4 linked regions of the Arabidopsis thaliana genome follow. The protein of the gene in region 3 interacts with the protein of the main gene of each other region in a biochemical or structural test. Each region holds a gene or a part of one and is shown on either strand. Other genes may lie near its edges.

Region 1 (5,623 bases), on a different chromosome or scaffold from region 3:
TTCTCTGTTTGATCGGTCTTTTGTGTACGTACGTGTTTGATCTCTCGATAATAACTAGGGTTTCAAAAGCAACGAAGGAGAAGAGAAATTAGTAAATTGTTGCGTATGGTCTCTCGATCTATCTGATGTTGTTTATATAAAGACTAAGAGTCCAAGACCAGATAGGTTTTGTTAGTTTCGGATACTTTAATTGCTTGCTATCAAAGCCTTTCCCAAATATATTTTTTTTCTAAAAGGAGATGAATTTAACCTGATATAGGTCCCGCCTTTAGAAAATGTATGGTCTTTTAACTTGAACTAACAGATATTTAAAAAAAAAAAAGAAAAAAAAAGTCATGTAATTTTCTTTTTGTTTTAAAAATCCAATAAGTAATTCAATATCTGAAATTCTGAATTAAGAATTATATATTTGTAAATTTTCATTATTTAAAAATTTCTTCGAATCTTAAAACATATAAATACATAAATCAAATTTCCATGAGAGATAAAAAAAATTCACTTATTTATTTATAGGGTATTTATATGAGTAGCGAGATATTATTTTTGTAATGATTCGTGCAATTAAATTGAGTGAAAATTTAATACAAATATACTTATGCTTAAAGCAAAACCATGTATCCATTCATGAAGTGTTTGAAAAAAAAAAAAAGTGTTTGAAAGAAGCTCCTCGTTGAAAGAGTATCACTTTGATTACATTCTTCACCTTCTGCCCAAACTTTACTATATAAAAAAACTTCTGACTAAACTCATTTACATAAGGGGGAAAGAAAGAAGAAATGAAGCAAAGAGGAGACTGTGTTTTTCACCAAACTTGAAAAGAGAAGAGAAATAAGCAGATACAACACTGGAGAGTTTTTGTTTTCGCAGATTTGGGGGAGTTGGTTTTGCTAGCAGCTGGCTTTGTCTGAACGAGTTTGAGGAGGAAAAACTTTGAATTGTGTCCTCCACGTTTGCCTTCAACTACGACCTTGTGGCTCGTGTAATGGTACATTATATATAAAAAAGTAGTTGTCTTTTGCAGGATCCCTTTTAAGTTCCAGATTGATTCAAGAAGCTTAGACCCAATTGTCTCTTGATATGGTCTGGAATCAACTTGTTGACCAGTTCAGGTGATGATCCAGCTACTTCTTGTTTGAAGTTGAAGAGAGGCGGGAAAGGCCGTCCATTTGGTAAACGAGCGTTTGGTTCTCTGAGTTCATCAAAGAACGGATGTGCACAAGCTTCGAGCTGAAATACGAGGAAACAAAATATATAGTAAGGATTCAGTTGGATTCTTAGAGACTGAAGAAACCTCAAGACCAATGCTTACCGCTGTGCATCTTAGACTTGGAGAGTATTGAAGCAGCCTTGATGCAAAATCAATCGCTTCTGGGGGCATCCTTTTGTGGAAGATCTAAACCAAAACGTAATTATGATCAGTTGATGTGTGAAGAAAGAAACTGAAACAAGAACACATGCAAAAAGAGAAAAGACACTAACCTTGTGCCAGGGATGTGCCTTTATCTGTGGAAACCTGAAATCTGTGTAATGTGGATTCATACAACGGATTTCTTCTCGAGTTGGTGTACCAAGAACCTGTGTACAACAACTATACAGTGAGGATTTTGTAGCCAAAGAATGTAATTTGCAAGGAATCATCGTTTAAAGATTCTTACTTTTATAATTTCAACGAGCTGATCCACAGCATTTTCTCCGGGAAATAATGGCTGCATAAGAACATGATATAGTCACAATGAGTCCTAATGCAAATATACACATGGAGATTGAATAAGCTGGTTACTGAAAGAATTGTTTACCTGACCAAGAAGAAGCTCAGCAAGAACACAACCAGCAGACCAGATATCAATAGAAGTTGTGTACTCAGTGGCACCAAATATGAGCTCGGGTGCACGGTAGAATCGTGAGCAGATGTAAGAAATGTTGGCTTCACCTTTAACCTGAAGCAAAAGTAAATTTCAACAGTAAATGACAAGATCACAGAAAACAACAACCGCTACAAGTCGAATGAGTTTATATGTCACAAAGTCTTACGAGCTGTTTCGCACTGCCAAAGTCACAGATTTTGACTTGATGAGTAAGAGGATCAACCTATAGAAAGAGACCAGAAGAGATACATTAAGAACGAAAGAAACAAAGGCAAGAAAAAAAACAAAGAGTTCAATCTTAAAATGTTACACATACCAGAAGATTTTGAGGCTTTAGATCTCTGTGACAAACTCCAGCAACATTGTGAATGTAAGCAAGTCCCCGGAAGATCTAACATAACAAAAGGAAGTAATATCAGCCTAAGAACAATCTTATGTACATCAACTTTGGAAATGGAAGATATGAATGTGTGTTGTTATTACCTGATACATGTAAAGTTTAACATAGACAAGAGGCATTCTTTGGTTTGCACTACTATAATGTTTCAGAACTCGATACAAGCTCTCAGGGACATACTCCATAACCAAGTTCAAGAAAAGCTCGTCTTTACTTGTAGTCGAAAAGAAGCAATGCTTCAAACAAACCACATTCGGATGATCCATCACACGCATCAACTGAAGTTCTCGGTTCTTGTATCTTCTATCTTGCAAAACCTTCTTTATCGCCACGGTTTCTCCAGTCTCCAAACATTTTGCTTGGAAAACGATCCCGAACGAGCCTGTACCAACAACTCGCTCCGCCATGTAACTAATTGTCTAACAACAACATAGAAAAATGTATTGGTAACCATCAAAATCTTGCATATACATAAAAGTGAGTCTATTTGGTTAAAAGCCTTAAAAATACCTGTTTTGGTTCACCATTTTTGCCACCGATTGTGGTGGAAATAATATGACCAGTGACTTGATCATGTCCATCAACTACAGCAGCAGGCATCTCCTGAAAGAGAAAAGCTTTAATATCAGCACAAAACCATTATCAAAAGCTAAAAGAATAATGCTTGTCTGAGAATCAAAAGTCTAAAGAAGGAAACTTTTATCCTAAAAGAGTGGTTACAAAATAACCGTTACGCAGAGTGAATCTGATTTAGTTAAAACTAAAAATATATACTTTTGTCACGCCAAAAGAATGGTAAACAAAACAAATACATATAACAAACCAAACAAGGACTAATCTATGTTCAATTATGGATCTAGCAGCTTGTATAAACTCTGGATTAATCACAGATCGAGATATATAGACATGGATCATCCCAACAGAGCTAACTTAGAAAATTCTAAGCTCAGAACTCAAAACCCTCAGAGATCTCAGGGTAAGTCAAAAAGTTAACGAAAGCTCAAAACTTTGGACAAACCCAGAACTCAAAACCGTTCAACTTCAAGAGTACTAACTAAACTAGATTTATTATCACAAAACATCTGTAAGAACAGGAATCTCAAGACAACTAATTGAAGGGTCAAATGTGGAAAAACCAAAAAACAGGATCTTCTTCTTCAAAAGACAGCAAAAGGAACACAAGCAGCTTTACCTTATCATCAGCCATGGCGATAGAGACACAGAGAGGAGAAGAGAAAAGAAAGAGAGAGAGTGGATTTGAGAGAGAGAGAACAAATGAGTTTCAATCAGTTTGGTTGGTAATGATCATTGTGGCGATAGAGAGAGAAAGGGAAGCCGCAAGATGAGAAAAGAAGGAGAGAGAAAGAACAAGACCATGTGAATCCAGCTCTTCTCTTTCTCTTTCTTTATCTATCTACTACTTTCCGTTTTCTTCGCCATCTTCTTTCGTGTTTTTTATTTGTTAAGCTACAATTACGTAAACACCCTTGAAATTGCTGGTTAATTACGCAGACACGGACTCTTTGTGGAAATTTCGTGATCAAAGGGAAGGCATCATGTACTTGTCGGTCAAATTTGAATCATGTATTCGTTTGGTTTAAGGTCTAAATTGACATTTCATGTAATCTCATAAAATGTTAGAATGCTAGAATTGTCAATGTCTCAAATTTTCACTATCATAAAGTTTATAAGAGGACTGAATATTTATCATATTCGTTGTATTTAGTTAATAAAATGAATGTAATATCACTCATTATTGTAAAAAAAATCAAAGATTAGTCAATACAAGTTAGTTTTACATTATTATAATTTGTTCACAAGTTCGACTTCAAGCAATCTCGTTATCTAGCGTTGTAAAATTTTAGTAATGGATACTTGATCAAAATATTATCATTCCAATTTCATATAAGAAATTACTTGCAATAATTTTTTTTCCAGCGGTGACTTATATATATATTCCAAATTTTGGGTCTATTTTTTTTCTTAACACAAATTTTGGGTCTATTTTTTTTCTTAACACAAATTTTGGGTTTAATAATTATATCTAAGGTATGTGTATAAATAGAAAAGATAGGGCATGATGAAATTGGAACAATATTGTCAAAGATCCAAGTTTGACCATTTGGTGGGAAAACTTCTTTTTTGACATTGATGAAAGAAAAAAGCATTTATGTTTCTTTGGGTCTTAACTTTTTAATGTTTTTATTTTATAATTAAAATTTTAGACTTAAAAATGAGCTTTAATTATTACCTAATAGTGTAGCTTTACTTATTGTGTTTGTTTTTTTCTTTATATTTGTTTATTTATTTTTCTGGAAACATCAATATTAAAATCAATGATGATAATGATAGCAGTCCTAGCATTTGCAGAAGACAACAAAAATAATATTAATATAATTTCTTTTTGTTCAATTATGCATGGGACATACATACTTTTGGCTGTATGGACGGATTTACATTGCATATTTGTGAATTATCTTCAGGCTCAATTATTTAAATGTCGATATGCGTATTATCCAATCGTATATACAATAGCAACTAGATTATAAATGTTCATATACATTCGGTTTTAGCTGAAGATGTTAAATTGTCAATGTAGTAACTAGTAATTAAGTTGTTATTTTTCTCACAAAAAACAAAGTTTAAGTTGTTATGAGTGTTTTTGGTTCTATAGAAATTAGAAATGATATTAAGATTGTCCCCAAAAAAAAATGATATTAAGTTATTGTATATCTTTCTTGTTTCATTGTACGGATTAAACAAATCCCACGATTCTTGTTATATACAATAGTGTAATACTATTGGAGTGTAGGAAAATGAATCGAACCAAAAGCGGTCTCACTCAAGAAGCTTTTAGCCCTTTTTATTTTGGTAGATAATACATGTTTGTAAATAACTACATTAGATAAAAGATTATATAAATATATTTCTGTAAGGGATCTTGAATAACTCTTGAGGTATGGGAAATCACAATAACGTGCACCATGTGACTGAGGTTCGAACCAAGGCAGAGAATGAAGAACTAATTATTCATAACAGTCATTGACGATATATTTAATTTAAAAGATTGATAACATGAAAATGAGAGGCAAAGTTAAGTATAAAGACGAGAATAATGATTGGGTTTGTACGAAACGGAAGAGAAAATCCTATAACAAAAATTCTTTTTCCTAACTAACAGCCAACCGTCGGCAAAAAGAAATGAAAAAATTTGCAGGTAACCTCTTCATAAATCATAACTTCTCGAAGCATATTCTTGCCATTTCTTCAAGCATTCCAGCTAAACTATTGTCTACCTCCGTTAGTTTTTTTTTTTGTTTTTTTGATATATGATTCATCAGTTGATCCAGTTAGTTTTACT
Region 2 (4,669 bases), on a different chromosome or scaffold from region 3:
AAGTCAATGAATATCTAGTCATTATATTAGTGTTGTTAGTTAGAAGCTAATATTGTTGCTGGTGAGGTGAGAAGTGTGAATATCGTTTGCACCAAACATATTCGTGGACTACAATATAATTAGCTTGAGAACACCGAATTTTCAGAACCCCCTGCATAAGCATAAGATCATGTGATTGTCATATGCAATCATTAGATAACTAACATGAGGAGACTCATCTCAAGTCTTTTTGGCTATCGAAAATCATTTGCTACATAATAGTTAAAAGGAGAGCACACATATTGTGATCCATTCATCTATTTGCATTTAGACTGAAAAGGAAAACTCTTAACAAAAGAACTGAAAACCAAAAAGTTCAAAGAAAAGAAACCCGTAAAAATAATACCACTACTTAAGAAAATCCAAATACAATTAAACTTCAAGAATAAACATCTTTAAAATCATATAAAGCTTTTAACATGACAAGCTTTATATAAATAATGAACGTGGACTGGAATCACGTGTGAGCGAGCAACTTTGGTTTTTACAGTATCTTTCTCTGAAAAGATTGGTGGAAGAAAAAGAAAAGTTGGAGTAATGTATGAGAAAACAACTAAATGTCTCAGAATTCGACCAAAGACTGTTATTTTTATAAATAGTTTTCATGCATGCAATGCAGACAAAGTGGTCCAAGTACACTTTTGATATTTTGCATCTCTTTGCGTAATGAGAGATTCGACTTCTTTGATACGTGTGTGCTTCTCTATGGTCGCATTCTTCCACAGCCTATGTTGCACAGATTTTCTTGGTTTGACTGGATTTTATATACGTAACAACATTGACGATTTTTATTATTCACAGTTTCACACCGACAAAAAATCCACGAATTTTGGGTTCCAACTTGATTTTGACGATACAGTAGAAGGATCATAATTTAACCAGAGGAGCCTTAAGGAGAAAGATGTTTTTAAGGCTTGAGCAGAGTCGAGACAATAAATATTAAGAGCACAGAGGTTTAGTAGAGTAGATAAATCATCAAGCTGTGCACAATCATAATCATCATAAACACTTCAATCTTTTTTCACAGTTTTTGAGCAAAGGTTATGGGGATTTTGAGATCGATTTGGTGGCAGAAACATCGCGTAACAACCCTCCCCCCCTTCATCTAGATCCTCAGGCCTCGTCCATCTGCTCCTGTTACATAGAGTAGTAATAACTCAGCACACACGGTTTTGCGGTTATTTCAGTTTTAACATGTTCTTTGATGTCTCTTATATGATGCATCTGATTGGTCTATGATGGAAACACTAATCACACTAAGATATGATCTTTATAGTTATTCGAATGGTGTAGAATATCGAGGTACGGCATAAAGAGATGTGAATACCTGCATATCGGAGGTCCAAAGGGTTAAATTGTCCCTCAGCAACTGCATTATGAGAGTGCTGTCTTTGTAGGATTCCTCTCCCAGAGTGTCAAGCTCAGCTATGGCCTCCTCAAAAGCCTACAATTAAAAATCCAGTATCAAAATTGAGAATGCCCCCACAGTGAAAAATTTCTGCCGTTTTACTAAATGTCTTATACGTAAGTTCTAGTTGAAACAGAATGAGACATCAGTCCTAGTATTGGACAACATGGATCTTCATCATCATATTAGTCTGTGATTATTAAAAAAGAGGAATTTTGTTAAAAAAGCTGACTCAAAGTGATACTAGATGAAGCACCATGAATCAAAGAGTGGTTCTTTATCTAACAAAACATACTCAGGAGATAAAGGTACAACAGAAATAGTCAACAAGTGGTCAATCCTCTTAGTCAAAACATCAAGCAAGCTCATTCAAAGTGATAAGAAATGATGATACACAGAGGGCCAAAGATTGGTTCTTTACCCAACAATACATCTTAAGAAAAGAAAAAAGTACAACAAGACTAGTCAACAAGTGGTCAATTCTCTTTTGTAATAACATAAAGCAAGAAACAGAAGCAAACTCTCAAGAGACAAACTCAGGTCAACGACTTATATGTTTGTTACCAGAGAGGCAACGGAAAGAGAGAGAAAGAGATGTTCCTAATTGAGGCAAGCAGCGAAAAAGAAAGAAGAAGAGTAACCTGTTTGGCCATGTTACAAGCTTTGTCTGAAGAATTGAGAATCTCATAGTAGAACACTGAGAAATTCAGGGCCAGACCAAGCCTTATCGGATGAGTAGGTGCCATATCCGCAGCTGCGATATCCTTCAAAAAACATCACATCGAAAAATAGACAAAAACATCTCCATCAGTTTGAAGAAAGCAATTTTTACTCTTTAAGACAAAAACTGAAACAAAACAGCAATCTACTTTCTCATGATTTGATAAGCATAGTAGCTCAATTAGAGACCAATTCTAGATCAGGACATAATTACTAGATTTGGAAGCTATTACCAATAGAAGAAATCTCGTAAACAGAGTTCACAAACAAAACTTATCAGCCAAATCAGATTTGGAGAATGAAAATAACCTGAGCTGCTTTGTAAGCGAGCATGGTATCTTCAGCAGCAGTTTTCCTCTCATCACCAGACTTAAACTCAGCCATGTACCGATGATAATCACCTTTCATCTTCAAGTAAAAGACCTTAGACTCACTCGCTCCAGCAGATGGGATCAGATGCGAGTCAAGGAGCTTAAGGATTCCAGAGCAAACAGAAGAAAGCTCAGACTCAACTTTAGATCTGTAATCCTTGACAAGCGACACGTGCTCGTCGTTCTTCCTACTCTCTTCCTTCTGCTCAATCGAAGACACGATCCTCCAGGCGGCGCGTAGAGATCCGATCACGTTTTTGTAAGCAACAGAGAGGAGATTCCTCTCTTCAACGGTGAGCTCTTCCGCTGGAGTAGCGCCTGTAACGAGCTGTTCCATGAATTGAACCATCTCTTCGTAACGCTCCGCCTGCTCGGCGAGCTTCGCCATGTACACATACTGGTCTCTGCCTAATGTCGCCGCCATTAGAGAGAGAAAGAGAGAGATTTGATTTTTTTTTGTTTAATGGGGAAAATTTGAAGAAAATGGGAAAGAGAAAGAGAGAAGAAGAATAAAGGGCAAAGAGTCAGGTGGGCTATTAAAAATAGATGTATATTAAACCCACGCGCAAGTGTGTTCACTTTCGATTATACGACGGCGTTTGATGTTATAGTCTTTCGTAGAGTGAGGAGCGTGGTTTGTGTTGGCGAGTGGGATGGTTGGGAGGGTTTGGGGTTTGTGATAAGAGCGAGTGAATGGACGATAATAGTTTTTTAGTGAGTCAGCTTCTAGTCACTAGTTTTAAAGTCAGAACTCTGATTGGGCCTTTATTAGGCCTAATATGGGCCTTATGAATTCCAATACTTATGAAGTTTGTAATACACACCTTTTTTTTTGTTGTTGCATAAAATGCGAAAACTTTTTCTTAAAGAGAAATAAAGTACATAATTTAAAAGACTAAAGTATATATTCTTTTAATATTAAAGTATATTAACCAAAATGGAAATCAATAGTTAGTAGTAGTGTCGTCTGCAAAGGAAAAAAGTGAAAAATAAAAAGACAAAGTCCGAGAAAGGAGACTTTTTAATACGTTCATGTGGTCAACCGTCACCGTGAGTCCAGAAGGAATTTTTTTTTGCATCGACGGATGGGAACAAGCTCCGTCTCTCGGCCGTTATGTTTTCTTTCGGCCTTTACTTTGGACTTTCACAACTCATTTTTCTTTTTCTTTTTCTCTTTCACAACTCTTTATCACTGCAAAAAACAATAAGGATATGCCTTTTTGATTCTTATCTTGTTATTGTTATATGATGATTTACAGGTTTTAGATGAGATATTTGTGACTCGAATGCAAAGCTTAATCGGGAATTCGTTAAAGGACGAAAATTTGGAGGCACCAAGATTGATAATGGAGCTTCGGTCTATGCTTTTGTAAACGCTATATGGAAAACTGCATACTGTACTACTTGGAGAAGAAGAGAGAAAAAATATGTTGATAGAAACCATACTTTGAACATTCAGCTATAAGAGTTGGGCATGGTGTAGTTAGATTAGTGATGACTCATATGTTCATTTTGGTTCTATTGTTAATAAAATGTATATATATATATATATAAACTCAGCGATCGTTTCAAGTTTCTATAAATCTGATATACAAATTCATCACTGTTGCCACCAAAATAAGAATGAAAGAGAGAAGGGGCGCTTTGGTCAACTGAGCGGTTGTTTGTTTAAAGGGCGGGAAATTGTTTTGAAAGACAAAATATTAAAAAAATATCGTCGCCTGAGAGATTCGAACTCTCGCGGGGAAACCCCATGTACTTAGCAGGCACACGCCTTAACCACTCGGCCAAAGCGACTATGTTGTTTGCTGAAGGATTAGCTACTATATAATGTTGTTTTACATAAGTAAAGCGTGGAGCTTACTCGCGTATGTTGCGCGTACGTATGCGTTGTGCTTGTGGTAAAGTGAAAAACACTTTGTGGTTTGTTTTTCGATTGGTCCAGTTCTCTTCAGTTCTTCTTCTTCTCGTCACAGGAAGAAAAATGTTCTGTTCCTCGCAGCTCTCACAGCCAATGAATGGCCTCAAAGACATAGTTGAGACGAGAAATTTTAAGGTTTGACCTTCAATTTACTGTCTTCTTATGTGCTCTCTGACTTTCTCCTCCTCTTATGACGAGCGAAGCCATTAA
Region 3 (4,815 bases):
TACGTTAAAGTTAATAAAGGTTACAATCAGTTTTCATAGATGTCAACAACACATTAATTGCACCTAGCAAAAACTAGGTATTGTAGTTGATAAATAAGGACAAAAAAAAATGTAGAAGATGATTGATGACATTGGATATGTAAGTTTTTCAGTTAATAATAATAATGGTGATTGATCAAACAGACCCGATCTATGTTTTGTTCCACGACGAGGAATGGGGTGTTCCAGTTCGTGATGACAAGAAACTCTTCGAGCTACTTGTCTTCTCACAAGCTTTGGCTGAGTTTAGCTGGCCTTCAATCCTACGCAGAAGAGACGACTTTAGGTAAACTTAGGACGGTGAATTTGCTATTTTGTGTTTTGGTTTGGTGTGATATCAGAAGTTTTGGTTTCTTTTTTGTAGGAAGCTCTTTGAAGAGTTTGATCCTTCAGCTATAGCACAATTCACAGAGAAGAGGTTGATGTCTCTTAGAGTTAATGGGTGTCTAATTCTATCCGAACAGAAACTGCGAGCAATTGTAGAGAACGCGAAATCTGTTCTCAAGGTAGGCACTGTGTGTTTTGCTATGAAATTGTAGATACTATGTGTTTACTGAAATAGCTTTGGTTGTAATCTGAAAACAGGTCAAGCAGGAATTTGGATCGTTCAGTAATTATTGTTGGAGATTTGTGAACCACAAGCCATTAAGAAATGGCTATCGATATGGTCGTCAAGTACCGGTTAAGTCCCCAAAGGCAGAGTACATTAGCAAAGATATGATGCAGAGAGGGTTTCGCTGCGTTGGTCCTACTGTTATGTATTCCTTCTTGCAGGCCTCTGGCATTGTTAATGATCATCTCACAGCTTGTTTCAGATACCAAGAATGTAATGTTGAGACTGAGAGAGAAACAAAAAGCCATGAGACTGAAACCAAACTGGATCTGCATTCTCCATTACTTGTTTGATCAGAAACAGGGATTGGACTATTAAGAAGATGAGTGACCAGTGTTTGTATTCGTTATGGAATGTACCATTTGTAGCTAGCTGTGTTCATTGATTATGCTACTATCCTAGCTAGCTTTGTCTAACTAGATATTTGATGATGTGTTAGTGTTTGACCAAAAGATTGATTGCAGGGAAATAAAGAATTTAACATTTTGTAAAAGCAAATGTTTTTGCAAATTTTGGATCTTGATGCTAAGAGACAGAATCGGCTCAAGAAATGATATATGACTAAGCAATTTGACAAGACACAAGACAGTTTCAAGCCACTAATTAATGTAACATATGTAAGGAAACAGAATCATACATCTTAAGATTTTTTTATCTACAAATAATGCTTTTGAAACCAAATTCATGAATTGAATAACCACTCTAACACTCCAATGCTTCCATGGAGAAGGCTTTGGGCAGCATATTTGGATAATAAGTGAAGAACATATGAGATTCCATAAAGATCCAAATACCTGGACGAAGAAGAAAATACTCAAGAGGATTAGTTTCTCATATTCCAATGACATGCCATTTGGGTTTGCCTAGTTGTTTATGTCAACCACGAGCCTTCCCATTTCCAAGTGTAAGCTCAAGATCCTCCATACCCACATCATGTATCCTCTCTCCTTCCCAGGGTTTAACTTGGCTATTCTCAAATTTAAACTCAGAGCTTTGACCAATCTCTTGGAAGGCAGCAGTATTTGGAGACATCTGCTGAGGCGCAGGTTTCACAAGATTGAAGGTAGGAGAGGTTGGCACCATAGAGGCAGAGAATGGCTGTTGTTGTGCAAACTTCTGAAAGCTTATCCAATGACCAGAATCAACAGTGGAAGAGTCAGACTCATCACATTCAGGTATAGTAGCCGGGGTATGAAACTGGTGGCGATGTGTCGGACTAGCAGGTGCAGAAACCGCATAGAAAGGATAATTAAAAGACGCCATTGATTGTTTAGCAATGGCCATGGATTGCTTAGCGATAGATTCCCAGTTAGGCAACGGTTTCGGGTTCTTAGAAGTCGGCGATGAGACCGGTGGGGTAACTGGACAACTGTTTGAGATTCTGAGGGAAGGAAGAGAAGAAGGAATGCCACCATTTCTGAGGAAAGGGAAGAATGTAGAGGACATGTTGTTATTTGGTTCACCGCGAGAAGGACTCGGGAATGATGAAGAAGACGGGCTAACTTGGTAAGATGGGATGGGACTTTGAAAGGCTGATGAAAGAGGGCTCTGGTTCTGTGATGAATATGGAGTTACTCGAGATGAAGTCCCAGCTATCTCACCAGGTAAAGGCTTGCATCCCTGATACTCCAACAAAAGCAAAACAATAACCAATCAAACATCAATCAATCACAGGTAAGCAAAAGAAACACAATGCAATGACTTTGGACCAAGTATCATACATAAAAGATTAAGACTTTAGCATACCAATAATAACTCTAAAATTAGAAAGAAAACCCATAAATTCACTTTGAGAAATCAGATCCATCCATAGTTTCTGATGATTCAAATTCACTTTGAGAAAACCCTCAAATTCTCAGATTCAAACCCATTTAACCACAATTGAAATCAACGAATTCAGATTCAAACATCAAAAACATCAATAAAACAAGCTCAGATCTGGAAAAAATGGAGAAAGTCTTCACCTTGCGATAAGTAGTACCATCTTCTTCAACAACCCAACCAGCTTCAACACAAAGAGCTTTAAGGACTTCATTATTATCACAATGTTTAGGCAAATTATAATCACCTTGAGCTCTAAGCCCAGTGTATATCTTCGCAGCTACAGCTCTTCTCCGTCTTTCTCTCCTCCGATTATTCTCCCTTTCTCTCCACGACGGCTTCCTCCTCGCCGCTGCTGCCGCCGCCGCAGCTGCAGCTGCTGATGTCGACGTAGCTCCATCCGAAGTCATCGGGAAAACCAACAACCAACCCCTCGAAACTTCCGGAGAGAGCTTTGAATAGGTGGGTGAAAGATTGTGTGAACGTAGACTGATGAAGAAGAAGAAGAGAGGAGTGAGAAGTTAGTGCTCACGAGGAATACGCTTTTCCTTCGCTGGAATCGAAGAAGAAGAATCTCTCTTTCTTCTCCAACAAATAATAATATTTTTTTCATCTAATGTAAAAATTGGGTCGTGTGTGTGTTCAAGTACATTGAGTTCATATTAAGAATCATTGTTCTTGTGTATCGATCGTCCACGTGTAAATACATGGTTTTGGAAGGGTGAGATTACGTGAGGTGAATATAAGAGGTGTATGTTAAGGTGCAGAGGATAACTACGCTTAGTAACGTGTGTTTATGTTCTAATCTTTTTTTTTTTCTGTGAGTATGTAAAATGAGTAATGACCAAATAATACAGAGAAAAGAAAGGAGGAGACACAGTGGGACCGTTTCTTCAGTGTGGGTCCCTTACTTGTGTGACCGAAAAACACACCATTTGATTGGTTTTTAAAATTTTATTTTATACAGTGAAGCCGTGTGATTAACATCATAATGATATATTCAATTAAAAATTATCACTTTTTTCTTGCATACAAATCTCACTTTAGAAACAATTTTGACTACTTTTGTCCTGATTAGTTGTATGTACACTGGCTCTCTCTTTTTTTTACCTTCTTCGTACCTTACAAATGATATAAAGATTGGTGAATACCATTTACTATGTTCTATAAAGTATTTAGTTTGGTTACATGTTGATTTTAAGCTTTAGTATCTAATATCCAAATTTTGGATTAATTGCTGGGTCCATCATTATTTATGTATTCATAACCAAAACTTGTATAGTTCATTGAACATAAAAGGAAAAAGGGGTTTACGAGTTTGTCCCATAACAAGGTTCGGCGGCATATATGATGTATGATCATGTAATATTTTTGGATTATGACGTTTATTTTGTAGAAAGTGCAGGAGCATGTAACTAATGTCTTAAAAGCAGAGGAACCCGAACCATCAACGCGAGTTGGGAAACATTTGGAATGAATCAGAGGGTTCGATGAATTAGGCAAAACTAAAGTAATCGCCGTTGCCGGGGATCGAACCCGGGTCACCCGCGTGACAGGCGGGAATACTTACCACTATACTACAACGACTTTGTTGCTAATCGAGCGATTATGTGTTAATTATTGGTGATACGTTTTAAATCATCAGTTAAATCTTAATACCAGCTTTCGTTTCTAGCATTAAAAGGAATTTAGGGGTTTTCTTCTTTGGTTTGGCACTAGTAACCTACTTGTGATAATAAGTAGATTATGTGTTAAGTATGTTTTTTTTGGAAATATGTTCTGTTTTTCCGATTAACTCCATGTTACCTAGCTAACTCGTTTTGGACAATAAGTACATTACTTTAAACCATCAAACTTACAAAATGCTATGTCTTGAACAAGAAAAAATGTTGGCTTAAGAATCACTCCATGAACATTGTTTTAGTTTAGTTAAATGTTCAATATGGACATTATACGATGACATATTTAATAGAGGCGTGATTTCAAATTCAAATTACATTGGAGAGGAACGAAAACAAATAAACAATAGGGGTATAATCGTAACTTACGCATGCATGGGCCCCATAACTCCTGACTTTTTTTTTATTTTGAAAAAACCCAGTCAACCATTCATATTCACGTCGATCGCGTGTAGACATTACACAAAATTTACGAAGTGTGGCCCTCGTTTTCCTTTTTTGATCATTTTAAAACCCTCTAAAAGCATCAATCTCAGATTCCAATACAAATTAGTACCCAAAATGTTTCATACAAATTAACCAAACGTATCCACTCCTTTCTTTTTTGTTTCAATTTCGTTTTTACAAAATCTAAATCTTCACAACCAAGACAAGACAAGTAAT
Region 4 (4,859 bases), on a different chromosome or scaffold from region 3:
CTATACATCTAGACCAGGTTATAGACTTTAATATATATCTCCTATGAGAGTCTACGAGACTACACGAGGGTTTGTTTAACATTAATAAGTTACATACGCCTGCAATTAGAAAATACTAAACATTTCTAAAGATTAAAACATCGGATCTAAAAGTTGATGTGTCGATCTAAATAAATATTTACTATATTCTTCACCACAATTCATAAACTTTGGCTTTTCGATATGATTACAGCCAATGAGAAATTAGTTAAAAATATGAGCCAAAATTGTTAAATCACACTCCACTAAAAAAAGTATCAAAACCTTTTTCATGAAATTATCGCTTAGTAGTTAGTACTCTTTGTAACAATAGTTATAACTCACTATCATCCCTTTCTCTTTCTCAACTTTACTTTATAAAATAAACCTCATTAACAAATTAGAAATATCTAAATTCACTAATTATTAGTTTATTACTGTTCATACTTAGTGAAGTCGATAAAAAAAAATTATTTTGCCAAGAAATTGAGATTAATAAAACTTGATATTAATTTTTTTTTAAATGAGATTAAAACATAGTTTTAGTTTAAAATTCATAAAGATAATTTATTAATAAATACAAACTCAGCCTATTAAAAATTGATCCCAAAAAGGCATAAATTAAAAATGACCTACCAAAACGATATATATAAGAATTTTAAACAAGTGAACGAAAATAAATAAAATAAACAAAAGGCAAAACGGTTCGATTCAGTTCGGTTTAGGTCTTGGTCCGAACATATGTCATCACCGGTCCACTGATCTCAATCTCAAATTCACTCGACTCGACTCCACCACCGTCGTATGCTTCGAGTCAAACTCAGTACGCCGCCGTCGAGAGTTTCCAAGCGGAGGTGGTAATGAGTGGACGAGTGTGCCAACCCAACATCAAACATCCATTACTCTCCTCCACACGATAACCTTGGCCACTATTAAACACAGACAAAAGCATACTCGCTTGCTTAAACGCGTTAGACCCAAGATGTGCCGGCGCTAAACCGGACGAACCAAACCGGTTTCCCCATTGACTCAACGTTTCGTGTCTCTCGACTCTGTCAGGACCTTCACAAGCCACCAGATTACAAATCTGTTTCCCTAAGTAAACTTCAGACATGACTTTGTCTTGACTATTCGGAACTCCTTCCAACGAATCAAACAGAGTCGAATAATAATGTAACGATTCAGTAAACCGGTCTAAGAAAACCGGTCCGTTATGGTTCGATTCTTGCTCAACCACCGTGAAAATCACCGGTTTAATCTGTTTCACAACGCCGAGAACTTTCTCTATCCCACCGGGACGACCTAAGAGCTTATGTAGCTCAAAAACAGAGTTCACCGCAACAGCTTCCGTATCGCTCGGTCTAAGCTCAAGCATCGAAGCATCGAGATCGGCTAAGCTGTTAGCAACGAATCCACGGTATTCGAATTCTACGTGAATCGCCTCCGCAAGCTGAGCTAATTTACAACCAACTTCATGAAGATGATCAGAATTATCCGGCGCCGGTGGACCAATTCCGGTTAACCGGAAAGTTGGAGGACCTCCTTCTCGAAGCGCAAGAGCTTGCATAAGTGCAGGCCATTGAAGACCTTGGTTCATCGAGAAATCAATGACGTGTACTCTCTTCTTACCTTCAAAAGCTTCGAGAATCGCTTGGTTCGCCGTGAAGTGAGCGAATTTAAGATAAGGACAAGTCTCGTAAAAGTGCATCTGAAGAGTATCGGAGAGACAATGATCGATCTGATTCTGCGGCGGAGAGAGACGGTAGATCCGCCGCGCTAAAGCTTCGGCGAAGTAAGTAGCCACTTTTCTCATAGCTCCGGCTTGAGACACAGCTAAGCATCCGATTTGCTTCACAAGAGCTTCCGCTAGAGTCAAATTGTTCTGCTGGATTGCTTCTGCACAAGCCATAAGCGCGTGGACTAAACGAACACCGTTCTCTTGCGAGTCAACCAGGATAACAGAACGAGTTGACTCACCCGCCGCCGTCGTTGTCGTGGTGGTTGTCGTCACCGTCGTTCCTATGACTCCACCAATCTGCGTACCCGTCGAAGTCGATGTAACCATAGAATCAGGACTCGAGCATGATTTCAAACGCTTGTTCTGATTATTCGACGAAGACGAAGAATCAATCGCCGGAAACTGATAAATCGCGTTTCCGGGAATGACTTTAAGGTCATAATCCGAAGCCGGAAAACCACAAATCTCCGGCGAAGGAAGAACCGGATCTAAACCGTTAGAACTCGCCGGAAGAGGAGGAGGATTAAGCTCAGAGAGCATATTATCAAGCCAAGAATAAAGCTCCGACGGATTATAATGAACAGTATCCGTCGCGAGATGAGATAAACCATCTTCTTGAACATTACTCATCATCGTCTCTAATTGTTCGAGTTTCAAAGCAACCTCCGCCATCTCCGATGACCTAACTTTGTAACCTAAAACAGCGAGAAGCTCGTCGTCCATGTTACCTCCACCGTCTTCTTCTTTTTTCACCATCATCATCTTATCTTTAGAGATTGATGATGATGAAGAAGAAGTCCCGTGGTTGGACAATCGACCTTGGAATTGGTGATGATCTCTCTTCATTTTTCAGCTATGAGTTTCGATTAGATTAGGTCTGATCTTGGATCTAGGGTTTTGCCTTTTTTTTAGTTTGTGTGTGTTTGGGGATGATGAAGGAAGAAGAAGAAGGAACATGTGACTTCTCTATGTGAAGAATCTTAAGAGCAAATGGGTTTGGGATTGGATTGCTTTTGTTTTTCACTGCTACTACCACTTCAATCATCATTCATACCAGAACTAATAATAATAATTTCTCAAAATAATAATAAAAAAATTTCTCAAAAAATATTTATTTTATTTACCAGAAAATATAAATTTATTAAAATAAAAAGATATTTATTCTGGATGAAAATTAAAAAAAGAAAAGAAAAAGAATGGTGGTGATGGGGCTCGACGACCAATGAATAATGTACCAGAAAGAGTAACATACATACACATCTAAAGTGATAAGGCTGTGAAATTACAACACACATTACTAATTTTATTTTTATTTTCATATACGTAAAAAAAAATAAAGTGTGTAAAAACATTTAGAATTTCTGTATATTTGAAGTGATATTTACATTCATTGTGATGTGTATTTTTTTGTTTTGATTTACAAGATCTGATGGAGTAATATAAAAAATTGTGGATCTACTGAATAGATATATTATGAGTTTGTTTTTTTAACTATATAATAATTTTAGTTTAATTGATGAAGAAAGTAATTACAAGTCTAAGAGAATCATTAAACTTTTGTCAAATCTATAAAATAGGAGATTTAGGGCTTTTTAGTTGATTCTTTTGATGGAAGAACTGAAGATGCTCTTTTTCAGAGGATAATTAAATTCAACTTAAAAAGCTGAACTCACTTCATGATAGCATGATACTGTTTTACTTCCCAGTTTCTTTATGGTAATAATAATTTAACCATATGTCTTGGATGTAAAAAAATAATGATATATAATCACATTTTGAATTGTAAGAGATTATTATTTTATTTTTTCCAACAAGTTGTTTGAAGCTCAGCCATCGAAAACATAAATCTAAAATTGCGTATGATCAGATAAAAGAATAGTAAATTTTGGTTTTAACAAAAGTACAGTACTAGTAATTTTACAGTAACTTTAAGTCCTACAGGTTCAGTTTATGTACAAAAAAAAATCTCTAAAAGGGATTCTATAATTGGGTATTGAAAAATCATCGGACCAATGTATTTTCAATTTTCGAGTTCTCTTTTATAGAAGTAACTTTCAAGTATTAAACGTTAATTAGGTCATATTTTTTCTTCTAATTTCCAAGATGCATATAATTTTAAAAGCTTTCATAATAATAATAAATATATATCGAGATTTCAGATGTTGTATCTTCGATCTTTTTAACTTGACAAAGTTAACTTAGGCTTATGCTAATCTACTGTTACTGTCAAAGTCTAAATAAAAAATATAACTAGCCACTTAAAACTTACGAAAACAACAAAAACTAAATAAAACACGAATGAAAACATTAAATTTAATGATATTTGATGACAATATTAAAGTTCCGACTATATAAAAAAATCATCAAGCAAACAAAACCTAATAGTGTAATATTACTAAGCATTCATAGCTCGAAATACAATTAATTAAAGGCAAAAAAAATGGTGTGACAAGAAAACCCGTTTTTAAGCATAACAGCCGGCGTCCGTCGACGTCAAATCATTCAAAGAGATTCCCGTTACATTGCTTAACGCCGTCATTAACGGCCTCTTTCTATCAACTGTATTAAAAAGAAAAGAATATATTCATTTGTATCCTTCAGGAAACTCAAACTGACAGCACGTGATGGATCCACGTGTTAATGGGTCCCACAATATAGCTTTCAATAACTATACGCGGTTGGAACTTTTGTGGTCTCTACTAAAATTCATGAGATTTGAACACGTGTCCTATTATTATTAGATCTAAAACGGTAGGGACCGAGTCTGCTTCCTTCATCTTGACGGCCGTTTTTACGGATCCGTTTTTTTTAATTTCATCTCTATCCATTTGTTACATGTTATATTGTCATGTTACGTCACTTTCTTTAACTATTTATCATTAAATTCACTTTTTTTTTTTTTTTTTTTTTGGGTTCATATTAATTTTGTTATTTCTTCCATGCAAAACCATGGTTTTGTTTCTGTACATAATATTTTTAAAAATGTTATATTTTAAGTCTTCTCCATTTTTTATAAACATATTTTTCAGTGATAACTCAAATATCCATAACTTTTCCACAATTTCTAGCAAACATCACTCCCCTATAAAAAGTCAATTACTAG

Evidence for each region.
Region 1: of the proteins of BZR1 (region 3) and BIN2, one has a biochemical effect on the other in vitro, tested with the Arabidopsis thaliana proteins (3 studies listed by BioGRID).
Region 2: the proteins of BZR1 (region 3) and GRF6 form a complex in vitro, tested with the Arabidopsis thaliana proteins (one study listed by BioGRID).
Region 4: the proteins of BZR1 (region 3) and RGA1 form a complex in vitro, tested with the Arabidopsis thaliana proteins (2 studies listed by BioGRID).

Annotation. Positions count from the first base shown.
Region 1 is NC_003075.7:10,294,320-10,299,942, reverse strand, and holds BIN2 (Protein kinase superfamily protein), read right to left. Parts: upstream 3,806-5,623; 5' UTR 3,470-3,805; coding exon 3,455-3,469; intron 3,418-3,454; exon of another isoform or gene 2,866-3,417; coding exon 2,773-2,865; intron 2,682-2,772; coding exon 2,349-2,681; intron 2,257-2,348; coding exon 2,182-2,256; intron 2,089-2,181; coding exon 2,032-2,088; intron 1,938-2,031; coding exon 1,797-1,937; intron 1,707-1,796; coding exon 1,656-1,706; intron 1,576-1,655; coding exon 1,480-1,575; intron 1,394-1,479; coding exon 1,310-1,393; intron 1,228-1,309; coding exon 1,030-1,227; 3' UTR 554-1,029; downstream 1-553. UniProt on the Arabidopsis thaliana protein: Negative regulator in brassinosteroid signal transduction pathway important for plant growth. May be also involved in auxin signaling pathway. Phosphorylates and increases the degradation of BZR1 and BZR2/BES1 by the proteasome.
Region 2 is NC_003076.8:3,283,300-3,287,968, forward strand, and holds GRF6 (G-box regulating factor 6), read right to left. Parts: upstream 3,049-4,669; 5' UTR 2,963-3,048; coding exon 2,477-2,962; intron 2,212-2,476; coding exon 2,089-2,211; intron 1,484-2,088; coding exon 1,367-1,483; coding exon of another isoform or gene 1,316-1,366; exon of another isoform or gene 1,273-1,315; coding exon 1,177-1,272; 3' UTR 1,174-1,176; coding exon of another isoform or gene 1,153-1,173; 3' UTR 554-1,152; downstream 1-553. Other genes in the region: AT5G10460 (Haloacid dehalogenase-like hydrolase (HAD) superfamily protein), read left to right, coding at 4,523-4,594. UniProt on the Arabidopsis thaliana protein: Is associated with a DNA binding complex that binds to the G box, a well-characterized cis-acting DNA regulatory element found in plant genes. Specific negative regulator of slow-vacuolar (SV) ion channel.
Region 3 is NC_003070.9:28,183,777-28,188,591, reverse strand, and holds BZR1 (Brassinosteroid signaling positive regulator (BZR1) family protein), read right to left. Parts: upstream 3,089-4,815; 5' UTR 2,884-3,088; coding exon 2,617-2,883; intron 2,273-2,616; coding exon 1,529-2,272; 3' UTR 1,447-1,528; exon of another isoform or gene 1,182-1,446; intron 1,146-1,181; exon of another isoform or gene 946-1,145; coding exon of another isoform or gene 625-945; 3' UTR 546-624; downstream 1-545. Other genes in the region: AT1G75090 (DNA glycosylase superfamily protein), read left to right, coding at 184-325, 404-545, 625-945.
Region 4 is NC_003071.7:254,743-259,601, forward strand, and holds RGA1 (GRAS family transcription factor family protein), read right to left. Parts: upstream 2,827-4,859; 5' UTR 2,603-2,826; coding exon 839-2,602; 3' UTR 505-838; downstream 1-504. UniProt on the Arabidopsis thaliana protein: Probable transcriptional regulator that acts as a repressor of the gibberellin (GA) signaling pathway. Probably acts by participating in large multiprotein complexes that repress transcription of GA-inducible genes.